Linked DNA regions of Mus musculus: regions 1, 2, 4 and 5 are each reported to be linked to region 3. Evidence: microRNA targets listed by miRTarBase, many of them from high-throughput screens and not tested one by one. Region 3 holds a microRNA gene; each other region holds the end of a gene's coding sequence.

Evidence for each region. The annotated mature microRNA mmu-miR-7b-5p reads UGGAAGACUUGUGAUUUUGUUGUU and lies in region 3 at 1,393-1,416, shown strand. An mRNA with a match to its seed (bases 2 to 7 or 8) in the 3' UTR can be bound and repressed. Matches are read on the target gene's strand: a 7mer-m8 pairs with bases 2 to 8, a 7mer-A1 pairs with bases 2 to 7 and ends in A, and an 8mer does both.
Region 1: the mRNA of Eif4e2 is a reported target of mmu-miR-7b-5p. Seed matches in the 3' UTR shown: 7mer-m8 at 2,193-2,199.
Region 2: the mRNA of Ndst1 is a reported target of mmu-miR-7b-5p. Seed matches in the 3' UTR shown: 7mer-A1 at 2,074-2,080.
Region 4: miRTarBase lists Tmcc1 as a target of mmu-miR-7b-5p. The part of its 3' UTR that is shown has no 7-base or 8-base seed match.
Region 5: miRTarBase lists Nrep as a target of mmu-miR-7b-5p. Seed matches in the 3' UTR shown: 8mer at 2,439-2,446.

Annotation. Positions count from the first base shown.
Region 1 is chr1:87,227,719-87,230,777 of GRCm38, reverse strand. Eif4e2 (eukaryotic translation initiation factor 4E member 2) reads right to left here. Exons shown (of 7, transcript NM_001039170.1): 7 at 1,920-2,977. The coding sequence ends at 2,905. Among named protein-coding and RNA genes, the nearest start is that of Eif4e2, 15 kb to the right of the region's middle.
Region 2 is chr18:60,686,475-60,689,533 of GRCm38, reverse strand. It overlaps Ndst1 (N-deacetylase/N-sulfotransferase (heparan glucosaminyl) 1), which reads left to right. Exons shown (of 15, transcript NM_008306.5): 15 at 170-3,059. The coding sequence ends at 289. Among named protein-coding and RNA genes, the nearest start is that of G630071F17Rik, 25 kb to the right of the region's middle.
Region 3 is chr17:56,241,625-56,244,745 of GRCm38, forward strand. It overlaps Mir7b (microRNA 7b), which reads left to right and starts at 1,364; the gene lies at 1,364-1,474. A230051N06Rik (RIKEN cDNA A230051N06 gene) reads left to right here and starts at 92. Exons shown (of 2, transcript NR_155493.1): 1 at 92-190; 2 at 532-1,181.
Region 4 is chr6:116,019,265-116,022,323 of GRCm38, reverse strand. It overlaps Tmcc1 (transmembrane and coiled coil domains 1), which reads left to right. Exons shown (of 6, transcript NM_177412.1): 6 at 1-3,059. The coding sequence ends at 237. Among named protein-coding and RNA genes, the nearest start is that of Plxnd1, 26 kb to the right of the region's middle.
Region 5 is chr18:33,435,989-33,439,047 of GRCm38, forward strand. Nrep (neuronal regeneration related protein) reads right to left here. Exons shown (of 4, transcript NM_053078.4): 4 at 1,031-2,851. The coding sequence ends at 2,726. Among named protein-coding and RNA genes, the nearest start is that of Nrep, 26 kb to the right of the region's middle.

The DNA of each region.
Region 1 (3,059 bases), not on the chromosome of region 3:
AGGGCCAGTCCCTACTAACTCTGCCTAACAATGGTTCATTGGGTGAAGACCCGGAAGGCTGAAGAGGTTCCTCTAGTACACGACACACTAAACTGACTTCCTATTTTCTATGCTTAGACATGAAGATTCTGGGTCTGGAAATTTCCTTGCATGGATTCAGGGAAATAAAGCACGTGGCCGTGAGCAATGGTGCACCCACTCCTGTCCTCAGAGGCCAGCCAGGTGTGAATGTCTAGTCACTGTCCCTCCACTCGGCAGCCCAAGCACATCAGGTAACTTCAAAATGCTCTTCTTTTAAAGAGGAAGTTATCCTAAAAATTGCCTTATGATTTGAGTGTCTAGAAACGAACACACCAGAGATGAACAAAGCCCACTGAGAATTCTGAGGAGATTCCAGTGACAGCAAGAAAGACTCTTTAAGGTCCACTGATCCTATCTCACCAGATCTCATTTGTTTGTAATTCCCTGCTTTCTAATCTCCACCCAAAGCCTACAGGCACCAGTGCCTTGCTCTCAGCCAGCCCTCACTAGAAAGGGGTTTAGCCACCTGCTAGTCTGGGTATATATAGCACACAATGCAAGGTCAGACAGCTCTAAGTTTAAAGTGGCCCAGGACCACCAGGTTATGACTGAACTAAGGCAGTGAATGAGCTGGCCCTCATCTGTATATTAAAGTTCAATGTTGAAATACAATGATAGCTAGACCAGGTGAAGGAAGACTCCACAATTTGGCCTCTCTCTTCCCTTCTTCCTTACGCTCTGCAGAGAACTCCCATCAGCTTCTCCAGCACTGTGCTCCATTATGGGAAGAGGGTCCTTTTGCCATCCCAGGCCAGATGCAATTTTCTCACAACAGTGCTGTCTGTGTTAACTGCCTTTGTGGCAGCAGTACCCTAGTGGTCCCAGAATTCTGTCTGTGGTAGGAGTCCCCCCCCCCCCCCCCCCAAGTAGAGGATGCTGTGAGCCATTTGATGTAAGGACCCAAACCTATGAAAACTCAAATCTGCTTTATTCAGAGGAGCCACAAGCTGGGCATGAGAGCTGGCATGGTGGCTCACACCTCTAATCCCAGCAGTCTGAGGTGAAGTTGGGGGCCAGTGAGGACTACATGGCAAGTTCCAGAGCTGTGACCTGATACAAACAAGTGAATAAGCTTTATCTTTCTTAGGGACAGGTAGCAACACAAGGACCAAGCAAAGTGGCCTCTTTGTGGGGCAACAGCTACTTCTTGGTTCATCCAGGTGTGCTGTAGGAAATGGCAACAGGCAGGGTGACCAGGGAAGGCTGGAAAGACGGACAGGTGAAGAACACTAGAAACTGGGCTGAAACAGCAAGCTGGAGGAATGCTTGAGTGAAGCTCAACCACTCCTCAAACCATGCCCTTGCTTATTAGCAGCCCTGATCTCCAGAGTACTTGGGAAACCATCATTACTGCTGGCTCTTCCTCAAGTCTCAGTAGATGCTGTTCACTGGCTCAAATAAAACCCACAAGAAGCAGACCCAGGCAGGAGCATCACTGACATCTCACACATAGCTGGGATCTGAAGGGGATCTCAGCTCAGTCTGCTGCTGATACTCTCTAGCTCTGGAACGTGCCATCGAGCTTGCTGATGCAGCTACGATGCATGTGTACCTCCCAGTGAAAGATAAGGCAGAAGGCCCAAGAAAGCCAACATCTGACAGGCTTTCTGCAGTTTAGCAAATTTCTTTTCTAGACATGTTAGAATGTGATAAAGCAGTAATGACGTAAGTACCCCCAGGATACCTAGCCTAAGGTCTCATTGTGTTTTGTGGACTCCTGGGCACACAACTAGGGCTAAGTCAGCCAGCTAGAGTTAAGGAGTGTGCTGCTGTCAGATTGGACGAAGCACTCTAGAAAAGTCAACCTTGCAGTTACCTTCCATTCAGACAACCCAGGGTTCACAAAAATGCTTTTTAATTTTTAGTTTTGGGGATGGCTAACAAAGCTTGTTGAAACTCTCCATGCAGGTTAATGGTCTAAAAGCCAAGCTGCCCGCACATATAAGCCAAAGCCATAGTACTCACAAGGGTAGCACATGTACATTCAGATTACCTCACAGGCGACTGCACACCCCCACCCCAAGATGAAGGCACCTCTCACCCTAGAGCCTGGCACAGTAACCCTGGGCTAGAAAGAATGAAGGGCTCTCACCAAGCAAGACTACCAAAGAGGAAGACAATCTACTCTGCAAGGAAACGGAGGAGGTTGCCAAGCAGCTTTGGCACCAGAGAGAATACCCCATTAGCACAAAGCAAAAAAGTATGTATGTGCGGCCACAGACAGACAGAAGCAGGGCTTAGTTCCAAGCAAGAGACTTCTATGAACTAAAGGCAAATGGAAGTTAGCAAAGAAAAGCCAAGGATACCCCTTTCCAACCTTAAGAGACTTTCAAGCTGGACCTGAACTCAGCCGCCACTCTGGGCCAGCCATTGGTCTAACTGGATGGAAACTAGTACACTTGAGCACCAGGCAGTTGGGTCTTGAGTTAGACGTCACCTCATTATTTAATGTCAGACCACAACAGTCCCGGAATAAAGTACCATGTGACTACACAATGGGCTTGTGGCTATGAAGTTGTGTTCCCTGAATGGCCCTGCATGGAGAAGTCTGTGTGCCATCCCTTGAAAATGGTGACAGTCAATCCAGAGGCCACATCTTGATGCACCATAAAGAGCAAGAGCATGAGACAAGCTGGTTTAGCACCATTTATTTGTGATCTCAGCTGTTGTAGTAGTTGCTGCTGTCAGCCTGTTCTCAAAGGATAACATGCTCTTCCGTTCCTCTTGTCCAGGACAGAAGGGTCTTCCAGGTGGCACGCCAACAGAACAAGAGACTCCGATGATGCCAGCTTCAATGATGGTGCCATCCAGAGAGGGAGAGGGTCATGGCACATTCAATCGCGGCTTCCAGAGGTTTTGAAAAAGGAGCCTTTGGGGGCCCAGCCTGCCTGGCATTCTAGTGGAAGTGCAAAAGGTAGCTCATTGGGAGAGGAAAGAGAGTGGGGAGCAAGGGAAAGTAGCATCTGGGTCTTGAGGAG
Region 2 (3,059 bases), not on the chromosome of region 3:
CTTTGATGAATGCTCTCTTCTTTGCTGTGGGTTTTGACCTTGGGTGTTGTGTTTTGGTGCCCCTCCCACGTGAGCATCTGGAAGCATCTCTATAGGACAGAGTGTGGTGTTACGGAGGGGATCATATATTGGCATGTCACCCCTGATCTGAGCTTTCTTCCCATTGCAGTCCCGAGCCTTCCTAAAGGATTACTTCCGGGACCACAACATTGAGCTCTCTAAGCTGCTGTATAAGATGGGCCAGACACTGCCCACCTGGCTGCGGGAAGACCTCCAGAACACCAGGTAGCCTTGGCCACCACAGCCAGCCAGAACGCTTGTGTTCGCAGGGATGTCCTGCCTCACACTGAGCCAGACTGACCTGCCGAGAAGGAAGCTGGGCCCAGCCAGCCAAAAGCGACGAGCAATACTCTGCTGAGGCCCACAGGGGCCGGAAGCCCAGGCAGGTCTGCAAGCGCCTCAGAGCATCCACCGCTGGATGCATGGCCTGTGGGACCTCTGTGGTACCAGAGGTCCATTCCGTTCCTTCGCAGCCTCCCTGCCTGGGGAGAGCACTTCCTGTTGTTGGAAGGTCATTTCCTGGTAGGAGGAGTCCTGGAGGCTCTCTCCTGTCCCTCACTGTGTCCTACCGTTCCTGTCCTGTCCTTTGTCACCCCCCCTCCCGCTCCATCAGGATGTCCCCTCAGTATTAGCTGCCATAGTTCTTCTGTCCTCCAGACAGTAAAGGGGAAGAGCGCAGCTGGGCCTTTCGCCCAACCAGGGAGAAAGACTGGGCATGTCCCTGAGGGTTTTGAGCCAGGCCCTGCCAGGGTTTAGCTAGGCACCCAGATGCACTCATTAGACTGAATGTGAGGGTGACCATCTTGAGAGGACATACGACTCTGTATTTGGGTTATTATTATCACATCTCATCTCCTCTTTGGGAAAAGACTCTCTGGTCCCTATTGTATCCACCTAGTAGTGCTCATGGTCTCTCGTAGGCCCTGGGCCACTGCCATGCCACTGGGCCCAGAGACGTGGGCCTTGGCCCCGTCCTGCTCACCTGGATGTGACATGTGGTGTTTCCTGTGGTAAAGGCTGAGGCGAGTCAGGAGTCTGCCAGTGTTCATAGTCCCGTGTACATAGATTGTTTCACAGCTGCCGCCTCGGCCCAGCAGACATGGCAGTCAGCAAGCAGTGCTGTCCGCTGCTTTGCCTAGCAACCTGTGGCCGAGGGTCCCCAGAGACCCCCTAACCTCCCAAATACTAAGAAGCTAAAGTATTTTAATATTTTGTGTTTTTTTTTTTTCTTGGTGCCAGAGTTTATACCCTGGGTGCTGGGGTCGCACTGTGTTTTATATATATATATATATATATGAAATGTGTATATATATATTATATATTTTTTTTGGTTGGGTTTGTTTTTAATTCAGTCATATACAATGATGGCAAGCCCGAGCCTCAAAGAATGTCGTATCTTAATGCTAGAGAATGAGGTGGAAAGGAAGGTGAGTGTCTATGAGCACCCAGGCCTCAGGGCGAAGTCTTGAAGGGTCCTTCTTCCCTCTTCTGCAGAGGGACCAGAGATGCTAAGATGGAAAGGAAGACCAGCTCTCCCAAAATAGTATGGCTTTACAAAGCCTAGTGGCCGTGGGGTGTTTGGGCCACAGGGAAAGGCTGGCCCGGGGTGGGACACCTGGGGCCCTGAGCTGGCCTCTCCCTCCCCTGTCACATGGTGCTAGGTTGGGGTCTGCTTTGGAGTGGGGTGCCCACAGGGACCCACAGAACTGTCTCCAGTCCCTGAAGACACAGGGTCTTTGGCTGGTTTCTGTTTGGATTCTGTTTCTGTCCCCCTTTTAACAATGTGAAGTGACTGAGGTTGGATTTCCTCTTCCTGCTACCCCAAGCCCCCACATCTCTTTAACTGCCAGTCCAGTGTCCACCAGCCATTTGTTCTGACATCCTGGCCATGCAAGGGTCCCAAGACGGGCACAAAGTGGGTCCAGGCATGGGAGGTGGCCTTGGTCAATGTCACAGAGCTGTTGGAAGCAGTGCCAAGAGCTAAATTCAGGCCCCTGATTCTGAGCCCCGTGCTCTTCCAGTACCACACTGCCTCTGAGCCTGCCTTCGGGACCCTACTGTGTTCCAGGTCCCGTCTGTCCCTCAGTCACATAGCTGTGGTCATTCCAGGACATGGGGACAAACCACTCTTTCCCAGCCAGGTGCCTTTGAGCCTTCCCTTCCAAGACCTGCACTTTTCCCGCTGTGTTCTCTTGTTTCCAGAGTCCATCCATCTTACTAGCTGGGGTCGTCTTCATTATGAGCTATTCCTTCCTGGAGTTCTCCACTGTGGTGGAGAGTGTGGGATGCTCAGAGGGACCTGCGTGCATGGTTTTGGTGTGCAGAGAGCCATGTCACATCATGTTTCTCACTGGGGTCTTGGAACCTGTGGATCCCAGTCCCTATGTGATATGCTCAAATGCCCTGTCAACAAGCTAGAACCAGACTCAGGGTTAGGTCAGTGTGCATGCCCTTAGCCACACTTCCCACCTGTCAGTGAGGATGGCTCCTATATTCTGAAAGCTACTCTGAGACCCTGTGAGAGCTGAGTTAGATGGTTGGAGTGGCCTTTAGATAGCATGCAGCTCTGTTAGTCTCTGCTTCTGGTCTCCATTGAAAGCAAGCAGGTTTGAGACCCTGGCAGAGCAGGGGAGTGGTTCTCTCTGGTCCATTTCCCTCTAAGACCCTGGAAACTGCTGCTGTGTCCCTTTCAGTGCTGGGCCTAGAGGCTGCCACAAGTTGCAGATGTGGGGTCTTGGGAAGTAGATACGTTCATCTTAGTATCTCTCAATGACAATGTCCACTGATTGACTGGAAACGTTTGGAAAAACACAAAAACAAGTTGGAAGGAAATTACTTCTGTTGTTCAGGCCACACCCTGTCCCTTCTTCAGTCTCTACCAACAGCGTTTGCCTTATGGGTGCAGCTCACCGGCAGCTGCCTCATTCATTCCAGGTTCTAGAGCTTTCTATGGGGCGGGTACCTCGGTGCGCATAGGGAATGAGGACGAAGCTAAAATG
Region 3 (3,121 bases):
ATTCTGAAGCCGAGGCCTCAACCTATGAGGTAATCCTTGGAGCTTCATTCCAAGACGATTCCTATTGGTTCACTGGCTAAGCCCCACCCAGGGTTTCCAGCGCTCCGCCTTCCCCTTAAGCGCATAAAGGTGAAACGTCGGAAACTGGACAGCCACCGAGACACCTGCAGCTGCTGGTGAGCAGGAGAAGGTAAGGCACGAAGGAAGGAGGAAAAGGTGCGCTGAGGGAGGGAAGCGGGGACTCTGGGTACAATGCAAGTTGGCACATCTTCCAGAAGGCCAACTGGACTGTTTAGGAAGGGCAGAGAACCCAGGGCTGTCTCCCTGAGATGTGGGAGCAGGTGAGAGCCTTGCGCCTTCGTCCCCGCCTAGAACACCCCGGGTCCATGGGAAGAGATTAAAACAGAAGATGGGTCCCTAGGACGAAGAACAGAAACAAGGAGCGGGGCATTTTGGCAGAAGGCAGAAGCTGGGAGAGTGTCCTCGAGCCGCACTGACCACCCCCTCCCCCAATAACTAATTATGTTTCAGCACTGGAGACGCGGACAGCGCCATCCGGCTGAGGGACTCGGAGCAGAGTTCGGCTTCAGCACCAGGATTTCGGACAGCTCCCAGCGGGTCACGAAGAGACTAGGCTTCAGCACCCGGCCCCTGGCAGTGCCAAGCTCTCAACACCCAGCTTCAGGGATCGCCTTGGGGTCTGTTCTGGCGGAGAGTGTACAGGGAAGGAACCTCTTAATGGTTCTTGGCATTTGTCCTTTACGGAGGGATTTTTTTTTTCTTTTTTGAAACAGGGTTTTTTTGTGTGTACCTCTAGCTGTTCTGAAACTCACTATGTAGACTAGGCTGGCTTCAAACTCACAGAGTACAGGCGAAGCATTTGGTCAACGAGATGTTATGAGTGCCTCTGGGTGTACTAATTTCCAAAGTGAAGTGGTGAGGGGAAAGCCAGCCTCAATCCAACTTTAAATCTCAAGTTCTTTTTATTTTTAAAAAGAGTTTTTCTCTCAATTATATATATAATTATTATTATTTTAAAACACTGTAGACCAAGCTTTGAACTCCTTGTGTAGCCAAAGATGATCTTGAAGTTCTCATCCTCCTGCCTCTACTCCCTGCGTGCTGGGGTGACAAGTGTGTGCTCCTCGTGCCTGGAACAATAAATCCCACGTTGGTGATGTGCCAGGGTGTGAGTTGGGGGGCAGGTAGAGAATGAATCTTGCCTGTGTCTCAGGGGATGGAATGGAAAAGGGATGTCTAGGGAGGGTAAGTCAGTGAGTGGGGTTTGTTATGCTCAATCCTCTATGGAGAGAGAGAGAGAAGCACTTGAGGGTGTTGAACCTGGCGGAGGAGGATGAGGACGAGGAGCGGAGTACGTGAGCCAGTGCTATGTGGAAGACTTGTGATTTTGTTGTTCTGATATGATATGACAACAAGTCACAGCCAGCCTCATAGCGTGGACTCCTATCACCTTTCTCCTGAAATACACAAACAGGTAGGGGCAGGAAACTGGGACAGGAGGGGGTTAAGGGAAGTCTAGCACGGACAGGAGAGGGTGTCTAGCAAGGTCTCGGGCCCTGGGAGAGTGCAGGAGTGTTTCCCATGCTATTGGCCTGTCACTCAAACACATCTACATGATAGGATCAGAGACACAACCTCAGGGCCCTGGGTCACAGCACCGTGCTTTCTCTGGAGACTCAAATAGGGAATGGTGAGCCAGTGGAGTAACTCAGAGGGAAAGAGTGCTTTGAAATTAGGGAACCCAAGCTTGAGCCCCAGGATCAACTGGGTAGAAGGATAAAACCAACTCCTGCAAGTTGTCCTCTGACCATACATGTCCTGTGACACACATGCTTCCACACACAAATAAATAAACACACATAAAAATTTTTCTTTTTTTTTTTTTTAAGAGAGGGTTTCTGGGGCTGGTGAGATGGCTCAGTGGGTAAGAGCACCCGACTGCTCTTCCGAAGGTCCAGAGTTCAAATCCCAGCAACCACATGGTGGCTCACAACCATCTGTAATGAGATCTGACTCCCTCTTCTGGTGTCTGAAGACAGCTACAGTGTACTTACATATAATAAATAAATAAATCTTTAAAAAAAAAAAAAAGAATTACATTTAAAAAAAAAAAAAAAAGAGAGGGTTTCTGTATATAAACCTGGCTGTCTTAGAACTTACTCTGTAGACCAGGTTACCCTCAAATTCAGAGATCCACCTGCCTCTGCCTCCTGAGTGTTTGAATTAAAAGCATGTGCATACATAAAACTTTTTTTTTTTTTGGTTTTTTGAGACAGGGTTTCTCTGTATAGACCTGGCTGTTGCTCTGTAGACCAGGCTGGCCTCGAACTCAGAAATCTCCCTGCCTCTGTCTCCCAAGTGCTGGGATTAAAGGCATGCGCCACCACTGCCCGGCCATAAAACTTTTAAAAGAGGGATTGGCATCAAAGGTACTTCTAGAAAACCCTGAAATTCTTTTCTCTTTCTTGTTTTCTTTTCCTCACTCTTTTCACTTTGCCTGCTTTGAGACAGTGTCACCTGTAGTCCAGGCTTTTCTCTAACTCTGAATGTAGCCCAGGATGGCTTTGAACACTGAGTTCTCTTGCCTCCAGTCCCTGAGAACCATGCCTAGCATACACGGTGTTGGATTCAGAATTTCAAATGCTTTGACTGGGTACGGTACCCATGGAGCCCCAGCCCAATTTTCAATAAAACTCTGTGCCCGCCACACAAAGCAACCACTAGTTGCATGACTGATACCAAGAAAATGTGGACTTGTTGTCTGGTGGGTCATGGCATTCTTAACATTCAACACCTATCATCTGTGACATTCTAATGCAGTCACTAACCATCCCCCACTGTGCAATTCTCCCCAGCTGTCCTAGTGTGCATCCTGGTGCTGTGACAGGACCTTGACTCAAGAAAAGGGCAGGAAAGAGTTTATTCAGCTTACAATGATGGCCACACTCCATCACTGAGGGAAGTCAGGGCTGGAACCGGGAGGCAGGAGCTGATGCAGAGGCCATAGAGGGGTGTTGCTTACTGGTTGCTTACTTGCTTCCCCTGGCTTGCTCAGTCTTCTTTCTTATAGAATCTGGGACCACCAGTCCAAGGATGGCAC
Region 4 (3,059 bases), not on the chromosome of region 3:
GGGCTGGAGAATGCCACTGCCCGAAACCTTCTGGGCAAACTCATCAATATCCTCCTTGCTGTCATGGCAGTTCTCTTGGTCTTTGTGTCAACAGTAGCCAACTGTGTGGTCCCCCTCATGAAGACACGCAACAGGACGTTCAGCACTTTATTCCTAGTGGCTTTCATTGCCTTTCTTTGGAAGCACTGGGATGCCCTCTTTAGCTACGTGGACCGGCTCTTCTCACCCCCCAGATGATGCTGGCATGGAACGCAGTGCTCTTCACCGTCTGGCGAGTGCATGCCAAGAGAGCTAGACAGCAGCATTACCCACTCTGAAGTTTTCTACAAGAGAGTTGAGTGAATCTGTTTACATTTAGGATAATGTTTTTTTCTTCAAAAGACGCAATTGCAATAGTATTTTTTAGATTTTATCCAAGAAGTTTTTTGGGCAAAAATCTTGGATCATTTTTATGTAGCATGATTTTCCTTGGGATGCAAATCTGAAACAGTCCTTTAACATGAACAATCTGCAGCACACTGAAGGGCATTCTGAATTGAAGCTTGGAGAACTGCACTAAACCCACTAAACAGATGCAAAAACCTGACCAGGCCCAACACCCACCCTGCCTGGCTCCTCTCCTCATCCAGACTAACTCTACTGTGAAGTCCCACCACATTCCAGGTTGGAATTTTAGATTCAGGGTGGATTTTCCCTGCCGTGGAAGAACACAGGCATCTCCCTAGCTTTCTCACGCTAACCCTGAAGTATGATCACTTCTGAACCTGCTCCTTTCTTAACTGCCAGGATTGGAAGCAAGAGCATCAAGCCCATAGGATGACTGCGCAATCCTGTTCAGTATTGTGAAGTAGCCCTTAATCCTAACTTTTAAGCAAAATCCCTTGGCCGCACTTTTAAGGTTTGGTTGTTTTTTATATATATATGTGTATAGTTACCAACTTAAAAATAAAAAATCCGAACAACATACTTGAAGAATGTAATACTCAAACTCTCAGTGCTTCCTTATAATTTCTAATAGAATTTTTTATTATTGTTATTATTATTGGGGTTTTTTTGGTTGGTTGGTTGGTTGGTCGGGTTTTTTGGGGGGTGAAGGGGACTGGGTTGGGAGGGTCTTTTATTTTTTTCCTCTGAAATAAAGCAGTGCTGTTTTCAAATGAAGCCGTGTGGATATTTCAGCGTGCTGCTCCCTGTTGTCTGGAAACAGTTGAGTTGGAGCCTGTTGCCAATGCTGCCCTCTGCCACCCTGTGGCTGCCCTGGCTCTCTGGTCTCTATCACCCACACAGCACCATCTCCCCGGCTTGGCTTGGTTAGAATGGTGAGGGGTTTACAGGGTAAGGGGACAAGACTACACACACTAGCGTGGTAGGACTAGATTTTTGTTTTCCCCACCAAGTAAATGTTCACCTGTGACCTTGGGCTGGGATTCTCTTTAGGAAAAAAGGCTACTACTATGTTATGAGAGTCAAAAATAACTCCTTGTGTTTGCTTAATTTATTGTTTAACACCCCCTAACTGCCGAAACCAAAGTGATACGGAGTCGTCTTGTCTGCATTTTGGCCTCAGCATCATTAACTTCAAAGCTTTATTCTGTCTGCCTGAGAGGATCCATGGAAGATGATTCTCCCAAAAAGCAGAAAAAGAAATGTCAGGTTAGAAGGACCCAAGTTCTAGGTGCACACTTTTGCAAGCTTCCTACAAGCCCAGACTGACTTACACTAACCTAACTGCTCAGTGGCTGTCTAGAGACACTTTAGGAAGATAAACTGAGCTTGATCCTCATCATATAGCCAGTTCCATCACTCAGGTAGTGCCTGAATCAACCTTCAGAGCCTGATTAGTCACATATCATTGGAGGTCAAACGCCATTTCCAGTGGCCTCTCTGTGTGCCCACATGATGCAAAGGGGTCATGTACTATGCCCTGGACAAAGAAGTATGTTTTGCCTATGTCCCCATACCAGGACCTTCTTTCAGAACGAGGGTAGTATTACCCTATCTGTTGGAAAGGATGGTTTACATAGCAGTTCCAGCCTCCTTTTGCTTTGGCCAGTTGGCCTTCTCACTTTGATAGTTTAACTCAGGTACCCAGTCTTCACTCCATCCCCAGGTGCTTGTTCACCTCATTAATGAGCACCTAGAGCAAGGACCAAAAGAAGGAAAACTAATTAAAACCAATGCATATTCATGCCAAAACAAGTGGTCCCCAAGCCTGTTTAAAAGGTTAACTTGGCCCGAAAATATTGCAGCAGCTTCATGCAAGAATTGCCACAGGACACTATGGCCTTGCTGGGCTAGCATTTGCTGCTGTAATCTAGTTGCTCTGGTATAGAAGAGAACCCCATGGGGCTGTGGGAGAGACAATTCAGTGGCAGCCCACTGGCTTCTCTACCCATTCCACAGGAACCCTATTCCTACCCCCACCCCTGCCCACAAATGCCACTGTGATCCACAGCTGAAGTTGTTTCTAATTGCCTAAAGGCAGTCTCTGTGTCTGGAGCTTCAAAGAGACAGGCAGACCTGCACTAATTCCCTTCTTCCTCTAGCAGACTGCCTTGGGAAGGACCTTCAGTCCAGGACAGACCCTGTCATGGCTTCTTGCTGTCTTACCCTTCTCACTCACCAGGCCCACAGTCGCCTGCACTCAGTGCTGTTTGTAACACATCTGTTATTCTGCCTACCTGTACTTTTTGCTGCCCATCCCTGTTGCCTTTGAGTTTCTTGGAATTGTGGCTGTCCTCGGAATCTCTTTTCTATTCACAGCCCTTCTATAGCCTTGCTCTGATGGTTTTAGCACTTGATCTGAGAGAAGCTTGCCCATAATTTAATGCTTCTTTTCCTTAAAAAATAAAAAAAAAAATCAAAAAAACCCACTAAAGTGAAGCATTTCTTGATTCCCTTTTCCATGCTGGTGCCTAGCCCGGGTGAGTGAGGCTGGCTGTGTTGGCCTGGGTGACTTGTGGTTGTAGAGTTGGCCATCATTCTGCACTGTTGATAGCTGTCTGCTCCAGTTTCTGGTCTTTGGTATACTCAGTGTGGCCCGGTGATGAAGGCTTTCT
Region 5 (3,059 bases), not on the chromosome of region 3:
CTCTCTCTCTCTCTCTGGCTTTTATTTCAGAATTATGTTCTTTACCCTCTGGTGAGGTGTCTCAGTGTTTATACTCCACCAGCTGATTTTGAAACTCTTGCATAAGTCAAGGTGACGTTTCAGTCCCACGATGGCTGAATGAGGAATGCAGCAGGAGTTTCTCAACAGTCAAGACGTCAGTCAAACATTCAATGCCGAGGCCGCAGCTGGAGAGCCATGCCCACGCCCTTGGCTGTTGGCTGAGAACCTCAGATCCTCTAGTCATAGGTCTCTGTTCAGAACTGAGATGTACTCACACACCTGCCCTTCCTAAAGAATATATCAAAGAGGGTTTGACCATAAAATTCAGTTATAGAGTAGCTCGCCTTGCATGTGTCAATCATAGATTCTATCTACAGCAGCGCATGGGTCTATCTACATGGAGCATGGGTCCCCAAATTCCAGTTTTCAGAGTCACTTGAGACTTCCAAAAGGCTTTGATGATGGCAATTCATCACCCACAGGGGTCTGGGTGACTGCATGCCTGCACACCAATGGCTTCAACGCCTATCTCAGAATTGGATCCTCTTACAAATGTGAGTCTTTTGTCTGTGTGGAGGTGCCAACCTTTCCCAGAGTGGGTCTTGCTGGTAAGGGAGTGTGAGAACATGCATCTTGAGGTATGTGAGAATGTGCGTCTTGCGGTGTATGAGAACGTGCGTCTCGAGGTGTGTGGGAATGTGCGTCTCGAGGTGAGTGGGAACGTGCGTCTCGAGGTGAGTGGGAATGCCCTAAGGAGAAGTGGAGGATTTGCATTTACCTCTCCTTTGTGACCAGGGCAATGCTGTTAACACCATCTTAATGAGCCCCTACCTCTCCCTTAATCTCTTAAAGCCCTCAAGAGAGAAAATTTTCAAAAGGCAAATCTGCTTCACCCTTCTGACACTTGGCCTGTCTGACCTGAGGGATCCTGGGAACACAAAACGTGGTATGAATCGACAGAGGTGTTAAAAAAGACCGACCGACCCTACAATAATGAGCCAAAGCACAGTTACCTTATAGCTTGCATATTTATTGAACAAATCCTACTAAAATAGCTAAAATACATTGGGTACTTATGAGAGGACCACGTTACAAAAGCCTGCATTTTCGGCAGCGCACACTGCAATTCTACATAATGCCACAAATGCACAATACCGTTTCCTTGCTTTATTTACATAGCTGATATACCTACCCTAACAGAGGTGGGGGTAGCGAGAATGCACAAGAAACTCAAGCCAGAGGGGAAGCGAGAGAAAGAGTGAAGAGGGACAGTGCATGCATCATTGGTGTTTAACAGTCAGAAGCGCAAACAGTTCAGAACAAGGCCTGCCCTGTCAAAGGAAGAGCCAAAGACGTTATATAAAAATTAAGGTGGGCTTTCAGTCTGGCTAACACAACAACATTCTGTGAGGAGATGGCATTGTCAGATTTTATTTTTGTTTATCCATTTCATTGGGAGCAAGGACAAAAATGTAAAATCTACACCTTGCTTATCAAAACCACCCCAAAAAGGTATTTTGCCTTTCACCACCATCACCATCATCACCACCACCACCAACAACAACAACAACATCGTCATCACTATCATAGTCATCACCTTCATCATCACTATTTTGTAAAGACATTTTTCCAATTTCAACTTTGGGAAAGGGATAATTTTCAAATTCCTACTCAAATGCCAGCACTTTGGATTTTTTTTCCCACATGGCACTTATTAAAAGAGTGGACTTTTATCCCCCCTCCCCCAATATCTAGTCAAACAAAAAGAATCCAAAGAGATAACCTCAGAACGCCTGGAAAAAAATTATTGCTTTTCTTTTTCTAAGTCAGGCAGGTGAGGCTGCAGAAAGGAAGAGATCTGGTAGGTCAATTACAGTTTTGTGATTGCTCCCGCTACCGTGACTGCACATCCACCAGGGCCAGTCACGAGAGGACAGCCTCTCACACTCTTGGTAGCATCCACTCAACCTACAACCCTGAAGAAGAAAGCCACACTCAAGACACAAGGGAAACAAGTCAGTCCAGTCTAGAGAAGAACATTCCAGGAAACAAAGTACCGACACCTTCTTAGAACATGGAAATAAAAACAACTCCACCAGAGCTACCTCGCCAAGGAGCATGTTGAAAGTCCAAAATAGCACCATTCATCAGTGTCTCAGGCCCTGTGGCAGCGTCTCAGTCACTTACCACAAGGAAACAATGAGTTTCAAACTACTTCTATACATCAAAAGAGTACATGGGTAAAATATAGATATACAGACAATTGATGAACATAAACTACTAGGCTTGTTACATCTAAATGAAGAAAAAAAAAAACCGTGGGGGGGACTCTCAGCCTCTGCAAGAAGCAGTCGGGAGCTGTCTGATGAAAGGCAGGAGTGGACCAGTCATCTGAGCGCAGTAGGAGTTTTGAGTTGTGGAAGACATTGTTGTAGCGAACCAGGCCTGAAGGCCCACCTGTAGGGGTTGTAAACGTGGATTCACAGTGTGAAATTCTGAGCGTTTTCACTTGAGTCAGAATGATTAAAAACTGGTTTGATGAAACCTATTTGTCCACTGTAAATTCTCTAAAGCCAGGCTTAGAGTCCCATAGTTTCTTCTTATAGTTGATGATTTACACAGAAAAAAAAAAAATCCCATATATGATACCAAGACCTCATCAAAACCCCATACACCATATGCAATACAAATGGAGGTGGGACGATTAAAAAGGGTGGAGGTAACTGGTAGCTGGAGAGGTGAATTCACGGCTGCCTGGCGGAGTCAGCGAGGCAGCGCCAGTCTCCTCCATCTTCTTTCGGTTCACTTCCTTAGGCACGGGAAGTCTTCCCTGCAGGAGAAGACAGACAAACAGACACACACACAAACATATACTTAGTCACACTTTTAAAACCATCTTTAACGGTTTTTGCTTCTCTACCGCTTTCTTGTCCTGGAACTTTTTCTATTGTGCAAACAGTTTATATATTAACAGTATTCTCCTGAACGTAAAGACTTATTTTATGTGTATGAGTGTCTGCCTGCATGCCCATGTGTGT